Linked DNA regions of Schizosaccharomyces pombe. Each later gene encodes a partner of the first gene's protein in a complex. Each region holds a gene or a part of one and is shown in the gene's direction. Other genes may lie near its edges.

Region 1 (7,044 bases):
AGTATATTGACCTTTCTTTTACCTTTTTCCAATGTTTGCTCATACTACGTGTCTTGTTTACGGTAAGCTCACAGACTACCGGATGTGATTCGGAAGTTGCGCGGCATTTCCCCGTTAAAATTACGAAACGCAATTAAGCACAACAATAATACTCTATCCTTAAATATCAAAGCCTAGCGCGCTGCATTTTTCAATGAATACCTGTAAAGAGTATGGTAAAATCGTTACCTCTGCCAACAACAATTTTTGCAGAGAAAAGAGGAAGAAATGCCAAAATCAAGGAGGTCGAAAGTTTTGACTCTCGCTCAAACTGAGAAAAAGGGTCATGAAGGAAAGGCTGCTCTTTTCTCTGGAGTACAGCAATCGCTGGATTCGTTTGACTATGTAAGTGAAAATGGGCTCGGTTGAGGAGTTGTAACAGAAATATCGTGCTGAAGGATTACAAAATGAGAAAAACGAGCATCATGGATTTAGATGCTTATTTTTAGTGATTGAATTGTCTATTTTTGTACGAAGGTGTTTCCAAATGCTTTGAAGTTGAAATTCAACAGTACAGCTTTTTAGATTATGAGTTCTCGTTGAGGTTTTAAAGTTATACTTTTTTTTCCAATTATCTACTTATTTATTAGCACTGCTAACAAATACCCATCTGTTTACACCTTCTACTCGATCGTATAAAATTTTAAATGGCTGTTTTACTAACTGTTTATTTTCAATAGATGTGGATTTTTGATGTCACTAATATGAGAAACACATATTTAAAACGTATCCGTGATGATTGGAAGGGTAGTCGTATTTTTATGGGAAAAACTAAGGTCATGGCAAAGGCGTTAGGACACACGCCTGAGGAAGAACATGCCGAGAACGTTAGCAAGCTTACAAAATTGCTTCATGGTGCCGTCGGCTTATTATTCACAAACTCTAAGCCCGATGAAGTTATTGGATACTTTGAATCCTTCGTCCAAAACGACTTTGCTCGCGCTGGCGCTGTTGCTCCTTTTACTCATGTTATTCCTGCTGGTCCTGTTTATTCTCGTGCTGGTCAAATTCCCGTCGAAGATGATATTTTGTTGACCCATACATTAGAGCCACAAGTTCGTCAACTTGGTATGCCTACTGTTTTGAAGAATGGTGTTGTGACGTTGTTAGCTGATTTCCCTCTTTGTACTGAAGGTCAACAACTGGACAGTCGTCAAACACGTTTGCTGAAGTTATTTGGAATCACGGCTGCTGAGTTTAAGGTTGGGCTTTTGGGCTATTATTCAAAGAAAGGTGCTTCTGTTGAGTTTCTTCAATCCGCACCTGGTGCAGACGAAGCCATGGAGTAAAATGTATATTACAGTTAAATGGACACATCGCGTGCACTATTGCATTATCAAAGTTTTTTGCTTTTTATTTTCGGATAAAATAAAATGAAAAGAAGGGTTACTAGATTAGTGAAAGCCCTGTGTTACCGTGCTTGCATAGTTGACGGACTTTGGATTTAAAACAATGGTTTTTTGTTCATGCTCTGATAAATTTACATAGAGATATGTACTCTTTCTTTTCTTTTACTTACTTTTGGGGGATTATTGGTTATTTCTTTTCCATAGCGGATGAAAATATATGAATAATATTTTTATACACTTTAAAATGAGTCATGTAGCACGTTGACATGGTAAAGTTAGTTTGCTAGTTTCACTTTCGCTGTGAAGGCCCTAAAAGTTGATTTCCAAACTCCAATTGTTGCTTTCGTAACGTACGAAAGAATGGAAACAACGAAACTGATTGTTCTTTTGACCGTCGATATGCCGCATTTTGTACTTTAAGGTAAAATCGATATAATTAGTTTTAAATGTTTTAAATTTTATGGAATCATTTTAGTAGCTATCCAAATTATTTCTAAAACTTTTTAAAATGTATAATTCACGTTACACAATTACATTTTAAAATTGTGTCGCGCTTCACACTTCCTTTCCACCAACATTCACAATGACAGCATATGCAGCAATTATAGGAACGAAAGATAATCCCGTTTATGAATTAGAGATGGGGCCTATAAATGAAAAACTAGACAGGGTATGTCACATAATACTATTGATTTAGAACGCTAATATCTGAATTAGTCTTTAAATTCTCATCTTAATCAATTTATCGTTCATTCGAGTTTAGACATTGTGGATCAGCTACAATGGACTAGCAATGCCTTGTACGTTTTGTGATTTCTTTTGTTTCTTGCAGTCATTGCTAATACTCTGTTTTTGTATAGTTATATGAAAACCATCGATCAATTTCACGAAATGTATATATCTGCTTACGTTACGCCATCTAGTAAGTGTTTTGTTCCCTTTAAATATCTGGGGTGACTTTTGGACAACTACTAATGTTCATTATTTTTAGATATGAGGTTTATGCTTCTTCACCAAAACCAAAGTGCTGACAACATTAAACTGTTTTTCCAAGAGCTCCACGAATTATACATCAAAACTCTAATGAGTCCTTTCTATCAACCTAACCAACCTATTCGTTCTCAGGCTTTTGATTTAAAGGTCCGTTCAATTGCTAGAAGGTATCTGTGATGAAAAGGTGTTGGTTGATTTCTTCCTCACGTTCTTTCTCTCCAAAAAGCATTTATCTTTCTCTTGCCTTTTTATTTGTAAGAGTGAGGCATCTACAATGCCTATGCTGGCCGAGGTTGATAATTGTTCAATTTCCACATACATGAGGCATTGAAGAGGAAATGTTTGCAGATATGTATTTTTTTTTCAGTTTTAAATTTTGACTCATTGTGTTTACACTCTGTATACAACATATATATACGTCGTTCTTTAGTTATGTGTACCTCACTTCTTCCTACAATTGATATCCATTTTACATAAACACAAAATAATACTACATCCTTTAAGCAACTGGTCGCGTCAAGCTGCGACCGTTCTTAGTAGTCCGATCCTTACAGAAGCAATTGTCAGACAACTTAAAAAAAAAAAAAAAAAATCCCTATCTACTAGATAAAGAAAGATGTTGGGAATATTAATTTCTAGAAAAACAACATTTTTTAAGCCGAAAAAATAAAGTAGTGAACCGATTGCTCCATTTTAACTTTTTTCTTTACCTAAGAAGTAGAGTTCTTGCTATAACCACATACTTTTTATTTTTTGTTTCATCACATAAAAGTTCCTTTAATATGAATACTACCTTGTGCATCGTTATCCAGCTCGATGATACCTACGTTGTGACCCACAAGCTCACCAGAGCAAAATACAGGTACGCTTGCAAAATTTCACTTTAAATTCTACTGGGGCGTAGATATGGCAAAATCAAGTGAATTTGTAAACGAGGAAAGTTCAGAAGATGAATCTAGCGTTTCTAGCATAGAGGATCAGCATTCGTCGAAAGAACCTGAACAATCCGTGGAGAGCAACAATCACGGCGAATCGAACGCACAAGAAGATGTTGCAGAAATTGCTGGTTTAGAGAAAGTGCAAGGAAAGCCTGTTTTGACCACTAATGACTTGAAAAAGGAGTCCAATGTTTTTTTAGTACGACTTCCGCCTGGCATGTCCGCTGACCAAATAAGTCAGCTAAAGGTAGGCTCCAAACCTACAGTAGAATTAAAGCAGGAGAACGAAAACACCTATCAAATCCGAGAAGAATCAACAAGCTCCGTACGTGTGTTTTTACCTGACGAGCAAGGTTCCTATACGTCAAATGAAATCAAAACTGGATATGTGATTACAGAGACCCCCAAAATTTCACAAAACATTGATACTGGTATTACAATACCTACGCAGGCACCACTTGTTCCTCAAAGAAAGAATCTGAGACAGCATTTTCGCCCGATTGGAGATGCTGTAGGGCCTGAATCGGAACCTGAAGCTGAACCCAAGTCTGGCATCAAAGAACATATTTTACAAGAGACTGGTGATGCTACAGTAGAGGAATTACAAAATAAAGGGAAGGAAAAGCAAAAGGAATTGAAAAAGGGAAAAAGGGAAAAGAAGGATGAGGAAGAAAAACCTAAGAAGAAAAAGCAAAAGAAATCCAGCAAAAAGGAAAAAAATTAGATTGCTTGAATTAGTGTAATATTATCACCTTTTAATAGAATTCTACCTAAGCAATGTTAGCAATTGGTTTGGGAAATTGTTAAATATTTTAGAACAAAAATCTGCATCAACGGTTTGTTTTAGAATTTGTAAGGTTGCTGGAAACGCAATTTGGTAAATCAGCTTAAGACATGCATCTATTATTATTTTTGCTTCATGTAAAGACTTTTGAATAAAATCCCACCGAACATTCTTTCACATAAACCAAGGTTTTATTCGTCTAAAATCAGGCTTACCTAACTCCCTTTTATTATTTTTAGCATCTACTTGCACAGCATCGTCAAGCACAATGTTCATAAATTCGTCGAAGCCCTGTCATATATCGTTAGCAATTCATCAACTTGTCGTAGGGAAAATGAAGGTATTTCAAAATCCTAGGCCAACGACTATGAAGGGATTTTCCATAAAGTAAATTTCTTACCCTAATTTGTCCCTGAAGTCTTATATCTGTTTGTTCAAACAGCCAAATTGAAACAGGAGTATGTTGTTGCAACAATTTGAAAATGAAATTCTGCGTAAGTTAGCTATCCAACAACAATTAACCATACAATAGGAGGTATCATAACTTTTTGCACGCGTCCTGACATCTTGAAAACTTATTTTATCAAAAAACGAAATTCTATAGATGGTTGTGCAATGGTGCAGTTGGCGGCCTGTCAGCACTGACTTAGTGGATATTTAGCCAAGACCAAAAACCTCTTCAATAAATTTGTACCACATGGATCAATGTTTATCGATCCTTTATTTTTTTTTTATTTTTTTTAGATATGTAATTTGATCTTCAATAAGCTGTTTTAATTTTTTATCGACTTTCATACATACAAAAGTGTAGGTTGCTAAACTTCAATCAAAGCAGCCAAGATTGTATTGTTATTTTTATTAGACAATTTATGGACAATTCACTTGTTTAAATGATTGAGAAAAGCAAGAAATGTACTTTAGCGTGAGTAGCTACTCAGTAAAAAATGACATTAAAAAAAAACAATAAACAAGTTATCAAAGTTCAGCAAAAATTACATTAATTTAGACGATTAATATCCATAGATTCAAAAAGATTTGACAATAGAAATGAAGAAGACTGTAATGAAAATAGCCAAAATCTGATAAATATTTGGAAATCAGAATCCTTGAACAGCTCTAAATTAGGTTCTACCAGCTGCATCAAACGGATGTTTCATACATTAGATATTATATAATCCATATGTTTGCCAGTATTATTAGGAAACAGACTACTATGCGCTTTACATTGTATTTCGGATATATAAAATATAGCACGCGAAACTACTTTATGTGGCTAGAATTATATTATTATGGTAGCTATGTAAATAGCAATTGGAATACCTAAGCAAATTTTATTTTCTAACATTTGAAGTTTTTACTCTACCAAATGTATTAAAATTAAAAATCAACGTTATACTGAGACATAATGCCTTGAATGCTATTTATTATAATGATCATGGAAAACCTCCCGAATACTGTAATAAAGAGGTATAAGTTACTTGTTCCTTAAATAGGTCTTTTACTGCTACTACAGGTCTGAACCGAAACAAAAACACACGCTGCCAGTGCGTAAAGCAATCAATCTAAGTGATTTTTATGCCCTCATGGAAACGTTGTTAAGTGCTTTGGCTACTTTGTATGCCAACACTGATCGTGAGCAGAAACTTCAAGCAAACAACTACTTAGAAGAGTTTCAGAAAAGTGTAAGTCAGTCAGAGATTTGAACTGGATGATGTTAACCTGCATATTTTTAGCCTGCTGCATGGCAAATATGTTTTTCAATTTTGAATCAAGATGACAGCAGCATTGAAGCAAAGTTATTTGCCGCACAAACTTTGCGCCAAAAAATTGTATACGATTTTCATCAGCTACCTAAGGAAACACATATTGAATTTCGTAATTCCTTGCTACAGTTATTTTTAGCAGCTAAAGATAGTCCAAGACCTTTATTGGTATCATTGGCTGTTTGTATGGCTGCAATTGCTTTACATATGACTGAATGGCATAATGTTATAGCCGATGTTTTTCAAGCCTGTAGCTCCAAAGACCCCAGTGGAAGATGTGTTTTACAGTTTTTATCAGTACTCCCTGAAGAAGCTAGTGATCCAAGGAAAACTTCATTGAGTTGGGAGGAGTTATGTATTCGTGTTGATGAACTTCTTCGTGATAACGGTCCAGCAGTACTCGAGCTTCTGGTGCAATATGTCGATGCTGTCCGTGCTTCAGGATCTCCTTCGAGCGCTGACCTTGGTCTTGTTCTTACGAGTTTGATTTCCTGGTTGAGAGAAATTCCCCTTGATAAAGTTATGGCTTCTCCCTTAATTGAACTTGCTTTCCGTTCTCTGGATGATGACTTACTGTTAGAAGATGCTGTAGAATTTCTATGTGCCCTTTTTAATGAGACTAAAGATGTTGATGAAACTACTGATGCCATACTGATGCTCTATCCACGTTTACTTGAACTTCAGCCTAAACTTATTGCGGCCTGTGATGACCCAGAAACTTTTCGTGCACTAGGAAGGCTTTTTGCCGAGGCTGGTGAAGCTTGGGTTGTTTTGATTGCTAGGATGCCGAATGATTTTTTGCCTTTAGTAAACTGCATTGCTCAAGTTGCAGCTAACGATACAGAGCTGGAAGCGATTAAATTTACATTCGCATTTTGGTGGGATCTCAAACAAATGGTAGAGTTGGATGTTTATGCTGAAGCTCGTCAGCTATTTGCTCCTATATATTTAGAGTTGGTTCGTATTATTGTGCGTCACTTGCATTATCCACGAACTGAAGATTTGGCTATAAATGAGCAAATGGCTTCTAATGAAGTATTATTTGAGGATAGGGATGCTGAAGATCGTTTTCGGTCTTTTCGACATGAAATGGGTGATGTCCTCAAGGATTGCTGTGTCGTTGCTGGTGTATCTTCTTGTTTGGTTCAGATTTCTAGTCAGCTTATCAAAGTGCTCAA
Region 2 (6,832 bases), 240 kb from region 1:
TTTCTACCTTATTAAGACAGAACTCTCAGACCAGATATATGATAGTGCATTGCATAACGTTATTTGGTTTAATGAAGTTTAACTACGACTTCGTAGATGAAAGGACGGTGCTTCGTAATGAAGATGACAGGAACACAAACAGAGTCAGAGAGAATACATGCAGATAGGAGCTGCGACAGAAGGCGTAGAAGCTGACTTGTCGGTGAATGCTGAGCCCGATGTGAAGCCTATAGCGAAAATGCTGTCAGCTTGTGTAGGAAGTGTAATTACAACGCTGACTGTAACGCCTTTAGATGTTGTGAAAACCCGCTTGCAGAGTGAATCTATTTCTCAATATTCTTCTACGCAACCCATTTCTTCAGCAAAGATATTGGGGAAGGGAAGGCCAGCTCCAAAGCCTTTAGGAGGCCCGGTATCCGGACTTTATCAGATCGCTCGGCATGAAGGTGTTAGAAGCTTGTGGCGTGGATTAGTTCCTTCATTGACAATGCTCTTGCCAGCAAACACTGTACAGTTTCTTGGGTATGAGCAATTACTTCCCTTATACAGTGATTGGGGCTTTCCTGCTGCTGCTGCAATCGCAGGAGCATCTGCGCGCACAATATCTGCTACTATTGTGTCTCCTATAGAATTATTCAGGACTCGAGTGCAAGCAGTAGGCGGCCATTATCCGCCCGGCCATGCGCGCGAGATTGCTAATGAGGTCTTTGATGGATTGAAATTAATGATTCATCAAAAAGGTATACTGAATTTATGGAGCGGTGTCAGCGTAACGTTGTGGAGAGATGTACCATTCAGTGCATTTTACTGGTGGTCGTATGAGAGAATTCGACTCTTCCTGCTTGGGCATCCATCACTTCAAGCATTTTCCAGCTCTCAATCTACAAAGGACCTCTATATCAATTTTGTGAGCGGAGGAATTAGTGGGACTCTAGCAACCCTATTAACTCAACCTTTCGATGTATCAAAAACTGCTAAGCAGGTGCATGGACATACGTTAACCAGAGGTCAGTTTATGTTAACCTTATGGAAGCGAGGTGGTCCCAAGGCCTTGTGGAAAGGCACGTTGCCTAGATGTGTTAAAGTTGCACCGTCCTGTGCAATCATGATTTCAAGTTATCATTTAACTAAAAAGTACTTTTCTGAGTCTGTTGATGCTTATTAATTTAGACGTTGATTTTCAGGTTTTGGTTGGCTTGATGAAACCTTTGTTCTTTTTTTTTCGGTTTAATGTTTTCATCTCTTTTCTTACAGGATTCCATTTATGTTGATAATTCCCCTCTCGCAACTCCATTTCTATTTGTAGTCTATATGTTTACTATAATACAGGATTCAAAAATGCAAATCGAAAGAGTCTTGAAAGTAAAATAGGTTGGGTTAATTTACGAAGCGTAGAAACTAAAAATTAATATTTTTTAATTTCTGATATTAGTCTCTAAAATAAAGCCATAGTAGAACAAGCTTGCTATGTTTTTACCAGACATTGAAGCTAATGCTTTCATTATATACCCATTGTTGTTCTTTTTAAAAGCTTTTTCAATGGTTGAGGATACATATATTTTATTCAATGTTTTTCTTTTCCGTTATTGAAAAGCAGAAACAGCTCGGGCCAAAAAGTTTAGATCTTTGAAGAAAGCGATTTTTAAAGTGGGAGCTTTTGTTATCCGTTTATTTTATATGAATTGACTAGACTAGAATCGTATATAACGAAATTATTTCTAAAATAAATATTGAAAGTGATAAAAAAAAGCCCTTTAACAAGATTTTTTTTAAGATACTAAGACAAAGCAAATTAAATATTTATTAGGTTTCATTCAACTGATCGGTGATATGAACTGTAACAGGGCAATGGTTACTTGTGTTTAAGCTTTTCTTCTTGAATTTACTGAGATAAGCAACAAGTAAGGACTTGCAGGAGACATTCTAAAATATCAATAAACAAATTCTTTATAGCTTCAATTGCGGTATAAATCAAATATTAGTAGCGTCGATCACCAACTTATCTGTCAGCGTACAGTGAGTACACTTTCGATAACACTTTACCTTTTCTATTACTCTTCAAAGACAATGGATAGTCGTTCATTAATAAAATCAAGCAAGAACACTACCCAAAAAGCGATTTACTATTAGAATTGAATTAGGCAGTGGAATGAACAACGCTATACTATTGCATATTCCGCACTTCAGCGCCTTAATGTTTAAACCATTTTACCGCTTTTCATTAAAGCTTGTTAAGTGTTCGCTTAACGCTCAATTTAGTATGAATATAGCAGGTGTCCTCCGCCAAAATTTTCTCTGCAAACCTGGGATGTCATTCCAAACGTTAGAGCGAGAAAGGACGTTTAAAAATCCGCCCAAGGACGGAACGAGCTTTCCAGATTTGCAAAAGGCCGTAAAACCTCATGTTGATTCCTTTAACGCCCTTACTAATGCCGGACTACTCAACTATGCTGTTAAGGAAATTGGTGAGAAATGTGCATTTGACTCGATCACACAAGAAGAAGGTGGTGCATTGAAATTTGGAAATAAGATTTCCTTCCGCGTTGATGAGGTTCAAATTGCGAAGCCAATGTTGTCTAGTCGTGAAAGGTCTTCTATTAACCGCAAAGTCTACCCTGCTGAAGCCAGAGAGCGTTTGACTACTTATAAATCAAGATTGGTTCTTAAATTCTCATGGAGTGTCAATGGAGGCCCTAGACAATCAGAAATGCGTGAAGTAGGCATGATTCCCATCATGGTACGGTCCAACAGATGTCATCTGGAAGGATTGTCTCCTGCCGAACTTATTGCTCATAAAGAGGAGAGCGAAGAGATGGGCGGTTACTTTATCGTTAACGGTATTGAGAAGTTGATTCGTATGTTAATTTTACCTAAGCGCAATCATCCTACTGCCATCATTCGCCCTTCTTTTGCCAATCGTGGTACTAGCTACTCACAGTATGGTTTATCTATTCGTTGTGTCCGTCCAGACCAGTCTAGTTTAACCAACACCCTTCATTATCTTAACAATGGTGTTACGATGTTTCGTTTTCACTGGCGTAAAAACGAATATTTAATTCCTTCGATGATGATTCTTAAGGCCCTGTTAGAAACCAGCGATAAAGAAATTTTTGAGGGCATTGTTGGTAAAGATTTGGGAAATACTTTCTTGACGGATCGTGTTGAGCTTATGCTTAGAGCTTATAAGTCCTATGGTCTTTACTCCCAAACTGAAACACTTCAGTATTTGGGTAGCAAATTTCGTGTTGTTCTCGGCGTTGCTGAAGACCTAACTGATGTTGAAGTTGGCCGCTTTCTCTTACAAAAGGTTGTTTTAGTTCACCTTCGTGAAGCTAAGGATAAATTCCGCCTTCTCCTATTTATGATCCGCAAGTTATATGCACTTGTAGCTGGAGAGTGCTGTGCCGATAACCCTGACTCTCCACAACATCAGGAAATTTTATTAGGTGGTTTTCTTTATGGTCAAATTCTTAAGGAGAAGATTGAGGATTGGCTAAATAGCATCCGCGCTCAAATTAATTTGGATGTTCGACGCTCAGCGCCTGGTGTTGATTTCTCCGATCGTAAATACTTGACCCGTGTCTTTTCTAAAATTAACAATGACATCGGAACGAAATTACAATATTTCTTGAGTACCGGTAACCTTGTTTCCAATACTGGTCTTGATTTACAACAAGCTACAGGTTACACTGTTGTCGCCGAGAAGTTGAACTTCTACCGCTTTCTTTCACATTTTCGAATGGTACACCGTGGTGCATTTTTTGCTGAGCTTAAAACTACTACTGTCCGTAAATTGCTTCCTGAAGCTTGGGGTTTCATGTGTCCAGTTCACACACCCGATGGTTCTCCATGTGGTCTTTTAAACCATTTGGCTAGAAAATGTGAAATTGTCACCCATCCTTCTGATGTAAGTCAAATCCCATCACTTTTGCTATCGTTGGGTGTTGATCCTCCAAGTGTAGTTGGTCATGAATCTGGTTGGGGATGCGTACAATTGGATGGAAAGATTGTTGGTTGGTGTACTTACAAACTTGCTAAGCACGTTGCTGATGTGCTACGTTTAATGAAAATTGAATATGCTGTCAAGTTGCGTAATGGAACTGCCACTGAACCTGCTAAGGTCCCTTTAGATTTGGAAATTGGATATGTGCCTCCGTCTCATAACGGGCAATATCCAGGTCTTTATCTGTTTAGCAATCCTGCAAGGATGGTTCGACCGGTTAAGCACATTTCTACTGGTGAACTTGATATGCTTGGTCCATTTGAGCAAGTTTACATGGATATTGCATGTTTCCCTAAAGAAATCGTTCCTAAAGTTTCTACTCATGTAGAGTATTCGCCCACAAATGTACTCTCCATCGTTGCCAATATGACTCCATTCTCAGACTTTAACCAGTCTCCTCGTAACATGTATCAATGTCAGATGGGTAAACAAACTATGGGTACGCCTGGTACGGCCCTTCGTTATCGTACTGACAACAAACTTTATCGTCTTCAAACAGGACAAACACCAGTTGTTCGTCCTAAGCTTCACAATACCTATGGCCTCGATCATTATCCAAATGGTACAAACGCTGTTGTTGCCGTTATCTCATACACTGGTTACGATATGGAAGATGCTATGATTTTGAATAAATCTGCTCATGAGCGTGGTTTTGGTTATGGTACTGTATATAAGGGTGAATCTTTTGACCTTTCCCAAAAGCGTCGCAGAGGTGAACCAGTCGTTCACCATTTTGGTTTTGCTCCCGGTTCAACGCCTCGTCGCGAATGGTTGCAAAAGTTAGACGCCGACGGGTTACCTTTTATTGGAATTAAACTTGAGGATGGAGATCCCATTGTCGCTTACTATGATGAATCTACTGGTCAAAATTTTATTGAAACCTATCACGGTACTGAGCCTGGTTTTGTTGACGAAGTTAGACTCCTTGGTAATGATGTTGGTGATTCCGAGTGTCAGCAAATTCATGTTAAGCTTCGTATTACCCGTAGTCCGATTATTGGTGACAAATTTTCCTCTAGACATGGACAAAAGGGTATTTGTTCACAAAAGTGGCCCACTGTCGATATGCCGTTTACAGAAAGCGGAATGCAACCTGATATCATTATTAATCCTCATGCGTTCCCCTCTCGTATGACAATTGGTATGTTTATTGAAAGTTTAGCTGGTAAAGCTGGCGCCTGCCATGGCTTGGCTCAAGACAGCACACCCTTTATCTATTCTGAGCAGCAAACTGCTGCTGACTACTTTGGCGAACAATTGGTTAAGGCTGGTTACAACTATCATGGAAACGAGCCTATGTATAGTGGTATCACAGGACAGGAGATGAAGGCTGATATTTATATTGGAGTTGTCTACTATCAACGTCTTCGCCATATGGTTAGTGATAAATTTCAAGTACGTACAACCGGACCCATTCATAATCTTACTCGTCAACCCGTCAAAGGTCGCAAACGTGCTGGTGGTATTCGTTTCGGTGAAATGGAACGTGATGCTGTTATCGGTCATGGCACATCGTTCTTGATGCAGGATCGTTTAATGAATTGTTCTGATTATGCCCAGAGCTGGGTTTGTCGAGATTGTGGGTCTATTATTTCTATCATGTCTACAATTTCGATGAATGGCGTAGGAAGTGCCTCAGAAGTCAGGTGCAGAAGCTGTGCCAAACCCGCTTTGGGATTGGAAGATACCAGTGACATTTGGCAGGATGGTAGCGGAAAGAAATTTGTCGGCGGCACAAATACTACGTTGATCGCATTACCCAGTGTTTTCAATTACTTGACGGCGGAACTTACTGCTATGAATATTAAAATGATGCTTGAAGTTAAATAGATTAAAGTGTTGAAAAGAGTATTGAAATTAATATATTCGCTTTCAACTTCTTTAAAAAAAATTTTTTTAAAAGGACTGACAAAATGCCATGGGTGATGTGTGTATTTTCAGTTCCATTTGATTCTGTTTTCTTTCGCAACAGGTTTCTGATTTTTGCTTCGGATTACGTTTTGCATATAAAATTACTTATTGTTTTGGGGGAAGAGTTAATAAAAAAACTTATATAGAAAACTATAAAGGTAGGTCTAGGTGGACTAATAATAAATTGATTGATTTTTATCTTTTTGATTAAGAAGCGGCTAAGACATAATTGACAAGAAAAAGTTTATTATTAGATGTCTTTTTGCTTTAAATTGTATTATATATTGGTTAATAGATACTTGATACCAAAGAGTGATCGAATGTTCAAAGAAGCAGATTAATCAGAGGTTGAGATCTGATGCAAATTCGTGAGCACACATTCGTATGGAGAAAAGAGAATTGATATCTTATAATTTTAAGAACAGCTCAACTACAGAAAATCTATGCACTCAATTATAAAAAATACCTATTCGCATGGTTCACATTTAAGAGCAGCATAATGACGAATTACAGAAACCCACGCTAAATTGTATTTTGTGCTTCATTATACTATATTAGATAACCGATATTTAGTATAGTGTGTAAGCTACGCAGTTTGGTATCTGATTTAAGGATACGTAGAACTGCGGTGAGTTTTCCTTGTGATCTATTATATTACAATACACAGGTTGTATGAGTAGCAACTGAGTATAGGTATTGTATTAACTGGGTTATAATGTTACCTATCACTAATATAGCTCATAACTGAACTGAGGAACGAGGTTCGGCTGTAACGCTATTTCGGCAACCGATATTAATAGACTTCATATAACAATAAATATACATTGTTAGTTAACATACTGCATACCGCTATATTGTAAGTCGTAAGAGAAACTCACCGTAATTCTATGTATCGTTAAATATATACCAAACTGCGTA
Region 3 (3,583 bases), 2.2 Mb from region 1:
AGGATCCAAAACCGGTAGATTAGAAGGGGTTGTTTCTAAATAAAAGGCCATATTAGAAGGAGAGATTAACCAAAATGATAATTGTCAAGTGAATTAAAACTTATATAACATGTCATGTGCCTTGGTTAACTAGTCGAGACCAACAATTGATTTGAGATAATCTGTGAGTACGACTTTCGCTTTATTTAGCTACCTTTAAAAAAAATATTTTTGGATGACAGCTGTGAATGTCGATATATAAATAACATAAATGAAGCCTGTCAAAAGCTCGATTTAATATGTTACAATAAAAAAATCAAACCGTAGTCTTAATAAAAAACAACCCAAGGATCACAAACTAGCGATAAAAGATGCAACAGTGCCAGAATAACTTTTGTAAATGCAGTGAAATAAGTCGTGGAACGTTAAAAGGTCCCAGAAAAATAACTTGTCAAGATTTAACCTGAATTTGGAAAAAGCCTTTAAGGAATTAAAAGACTTTGATTTACAGATATAGACTTAGCAGTCAATATATAATGTCAACGAATTCATCAAAGATACACTGTATATTGAATTACCCACGAACTTTGATTGTCGAGCTCCAAAAATTGGATGCACTAGTGTATTGTGTTATTTAAAATAGTGAATCACTATATGCTTCGTATCTTTGACCAAGAGTTTACCTCTCAGCAGTAGTCATCGAAGCCATCATATTCCTATTTGCTCGAAAATGAGTGATTTTTATGTTCGATACTAGTATGCAAAAAAGCTGTAAATAGTTTTGAATGCTAACTGACTGAAGCTCGGGACACCATGGTCGATTCGGACACGAGTTCTTGGGTACGCGATAATATTAGACGCAAGGTCGCGCAGCTAACCAAACATTTGCTAGAATTCGATTATCATAGTGATGGGCTAGGTATGAATAGAGTCAACAATTTTCTGATTCATATTAGCAACAGTGGTTTGACATGAATACTAATTCAATTAGCTAGATACGCAAACAATTCTAACTATCGGAACGATTCGTTAATCCGAAAGGAGAGTATGTTTTAGTACTACATTTCTGTTCGATCGTATTAACAAAGCCTTAAAGTGTTCGTCAGTGAGCTTGTTTTAAAAGAAGTTCAACGTATTGTAGATGACAGTGAGATCATAAAGCAAGTCATTTCTTTCAATTTTTTATACTAACTACTATTTAGAGAATCAGATGAAAGTTGGCCACCTGAAAATAAAGATGGTAAGCAGGAACTTGAAATTCGTATGAATGGAAAACACATCATGTTTGAAGTAAGATTGCTCTTCATTTGGCATAAATATATTCATTCTAGATACTTTTAAGCTAATATAAACTACTAGACCTGTAAACTTGGAAGTTTGGCAGACGTTCAAAATAGTGATGATCCAGAAGGGCTAAAAGTTTTCTACTACCTAATTCAAGATTTAAAAGCATTGTGCTTTAGTCTCATCTCCCTAAATTTTAAGCTCCGACCTGTTAAAAACTAGATGCATTCCATTTTCTTATATATTAGGGCGAAAAAGTTTTATGTGAAACATTGGTTTACTATTTGGGTTTGATTACCTTTGTTTCGTTTCTAAATGTACAGTCTCAAAGCTGAAAAACGTTCGAGCTTTAGGAAGGAATTTCAGTTTTTATGCTAAATTAACCGTATTGCACTTTTAATTCCATATCATAAGCGGTTAAGAATTGACTATTTATTTGGGAACATCTTAGAATATGGCAACCATTCCATGGTAGTCGCGTTACAAAATCTTTTTTTCAATAAGATATCAAAAAAATCTTGAAATAATTTTAGCTATATTAAATAGACACTATTTGTATAGTAATGAGCGATTCACTTATTTTGTCTCAATAATATTCTTCATTTAAATAAGAGAAAAAAAAGGTAAAGTATTTCTTATTGTAATTAAAAAAAAAATTTCAATGTCTTGAGCACTGTAGTGACATGGTGTCATTTACAGAATTGGCATTTCTATTGATGCCATAGTATCGCCTATTTAGCTGTTAACCTTTCTCGAAGACATGATATGTTATATATGACCTTGGTTGATCAATTGAAGAGCTTTGTTTACCCTTGAACATATCTGTAAAACTGGATGCAGTCGATGAAGGAAATTTGCGTTCCGCCAACATGCCGGATTTATCACTCTACAAACAGACTGTAGATTTATACCTTTCCATTGCTCCTGGACACAGCAGGGATCCTTTAAATGCTATTCAGGAGCATATGGATAGTATGATTCTTAGCAAACTCCCAAGAATCAATGGAATAGTGTTGGCGTACGACAATATTCGATTCCTGGAAAAAAGTGCAAAGGTCATGTATGACTCCCCATTCTCCTTTATATGGGTCCGTGTAGACGTTTTAGTATTTTCTCCCAAAAAAGGCGATTGTTTAGGTATGAAATGCTTAGAAATTCGAGATTCTATGATGGATTTGTATCATGATAATTCAGTCGTGCAAAATTTTATACCAACTCCAAAATAAATGCTAACTATCACTAGAAGGAAAAATTAATTTAGTCAGTCCAAGTCATATTGGTCTATTAATTTTGGGTATTTTTAATGCATCTATTCCGCGAAAATCTATACCTAAAGATTGGATTTTTATTGAGCCCGATACTACGGAAGAACAAGGTCGTTGGAAGACAAATGATGGAAATATTCTGGAGCCTGGTAAAGATTTGGAGTTTGTAGTAGATGGGTATGTCGTAAACTATATACTGTTTTAACTAAAGTTTGATTAAATTATGACTAACAGTTAATCTAGTATACAAAGAGAAGCTGGGTTGACTATGGTTCAAGGGACGCTAGCAAATTCATAATAAGTATTTATATTCAAAATACAAAAGGATTGGTTACTTATGATTATGGATATTTGCCTAAGAAATTCCGGTTTATAGAATCGCGCTAAAACTAAACAGTAAGTTATTTTGAAGCGGTGTGTATGTACTTTCAATTGTATGATTTTATAAAAGTAGGCAATTGTTGATTTAAGCTTAAGGAATGAAATGAATGATAATTCATAGTTATCTTTTTTCTAGACTTTTGATTTCATCTAGTGATACTCTCATTTTCAATTTGTTGCATATAGACATTGAATGCTTTCCACAACCCAAGCGTTTGGAACTATTTATTTATAAATTCGACAGTTTAATATAACTTATGGACAGCCAGTTAGCCTGCAATTTATTGACAAAATAATTGGTTAAAATCTTCAAAAAGCACTATTTGATTTAATACGTCAGGTGAAGGATTAATATCTTCTTTAAATAAATCGAGATCTACTTATAACACATCAATGCTTAGACAAATAAGCTTAAGTTTTATTACCACGTTTGTTTTTCTGTATTTTAATAATAACATCAATAATAAAATTTTTTCAATTATCTCAAATTGATCATTAAGCAATATGAATTAATTTGATCACTTTAGAGTGCAATAAATAATTTCAGACAATTTAGATACGCTAATTAACACTGATCTCCGTACTGCCCGGTTTTGATCATTGCTACTGAGTAATTATTGTAGTTATTCTTTTAAAAATTGCAATTTGAAATGTGATACTTGTTTCTTATAAGC

Evidence for each region. Proteins that work in one complex are often made in the same cells at the same time.
Region 2: rpa34 (region 1) and rpa2 share a complex: the UniProt entries of both Schizosaccharomyces pombe proteins name them as parts of the RNA polymerase I (Pol I) complex.
Region 3: rpa34 (region 1) and rpa43 share a complex: the UniProt entries of both Schizosaccharomyces pombe proteins name them as parts of the RNA polymerase I (Pol I) complex.

The regions. Positions count from the first base shown.
Region 1 is NC_003423.3:1,760,465-1,767,508, forward strand, and holds rpa34 (DNA-directed RNA polymerase I complex subunit Rpa34), read left to right. Parts: upstream 1-3,229; 5' UTR 3,230-3,287; coding exon 3,288-4,043; coding exon of another isoform or gene 4,044-4,089; 3' UTR 4,090-4,156; downstream 4,157-7,044. Other genes in the region: mRNA turnover and ribosome assembly protein Mrt4, read left to right, coding at 268-384, 720-1,328; TRAPP complex subunit Trs20, read left to right, coding at 1,972-2,058, 2,106-2,188, 2,249-2,310, 2,380-2,558; Sm snRNP core protein Sme1, read right to left, coding at 4,040-4,089, 4,319-4,394, 4,504-4,593, 4,631-4,669; karyopherin Mtr10, read left to right, coding at 5,687-5,785, 5,837-7,044. UniProt on the Schizosaccharomyces pombe protein: DNA-dependent RNA polymerase catalyzes the transcription of DNA into RNA using the four ribonucleoside triphosphates as substrates. Component of RNA polymerase I which synthesizes ribosomal RNA precursors.
Region 2 is NC_003423.3:2,005,811-2,012,642, forward strand, and holds rpa2 (DNA-directed RNA polymerase I complex subunit Rpa2), read left to right. Parts: upstream 1-2,275; 5' UTR 2,276-2,308; coding exon 2,309-5,833; 3' UTR 5,834-6,145; downstream 6,146-6,832. Other genes in the region: mtm1 (Mn(2+) ion transporter), read left to right, coding at 158-1,165. UniProt on the Schizosaccharomyces pombe protein: DNA-dependent RNA polymerase catalyzes the transcription of DNA into RNA using the four ribonucleoside triphosphates as substrates. Second largest core component of RNA polymerase I which synthesizes ribosomal RNA precursors.
Region 3 is NC_003423.3:3,999,780-4,003,362, reverse strand, and holds rpa43 (DNA-directed RNA polymerase I complex subunit Rpa43), read left to right. Parts: upstream 1-2,119; 5' UTR 2,120-2,132; coding exon 2,133-2,400; exon of another isoform or gene 2,401-2,506; coding exon 2,507-2,705; exon of another isoform or gene 2,706-2,771; coding exon 2,772-2,826; 3' UTR 2,827-2,896; downstream 2,897-3,583. Other genes in the region: ESCRT II complex subunit Vps36, read right to left, coding at 1-51; mnh1 (protein mago nashi), read left to right, coding at 710-735, 782-819, 872-898, 971-1,024, 1,076-1,139, 1,182-1,269, 1,339-1,485. UniProt on the Schizosaccharomyces pombe protein: DNA-dependent RNA polymerase catalyzes the transcription of DNA into RNA using the four ribonucleoside triphosphates as substrates. Component of RNA polymerase I which synthesizes ribosomal RNA precursors.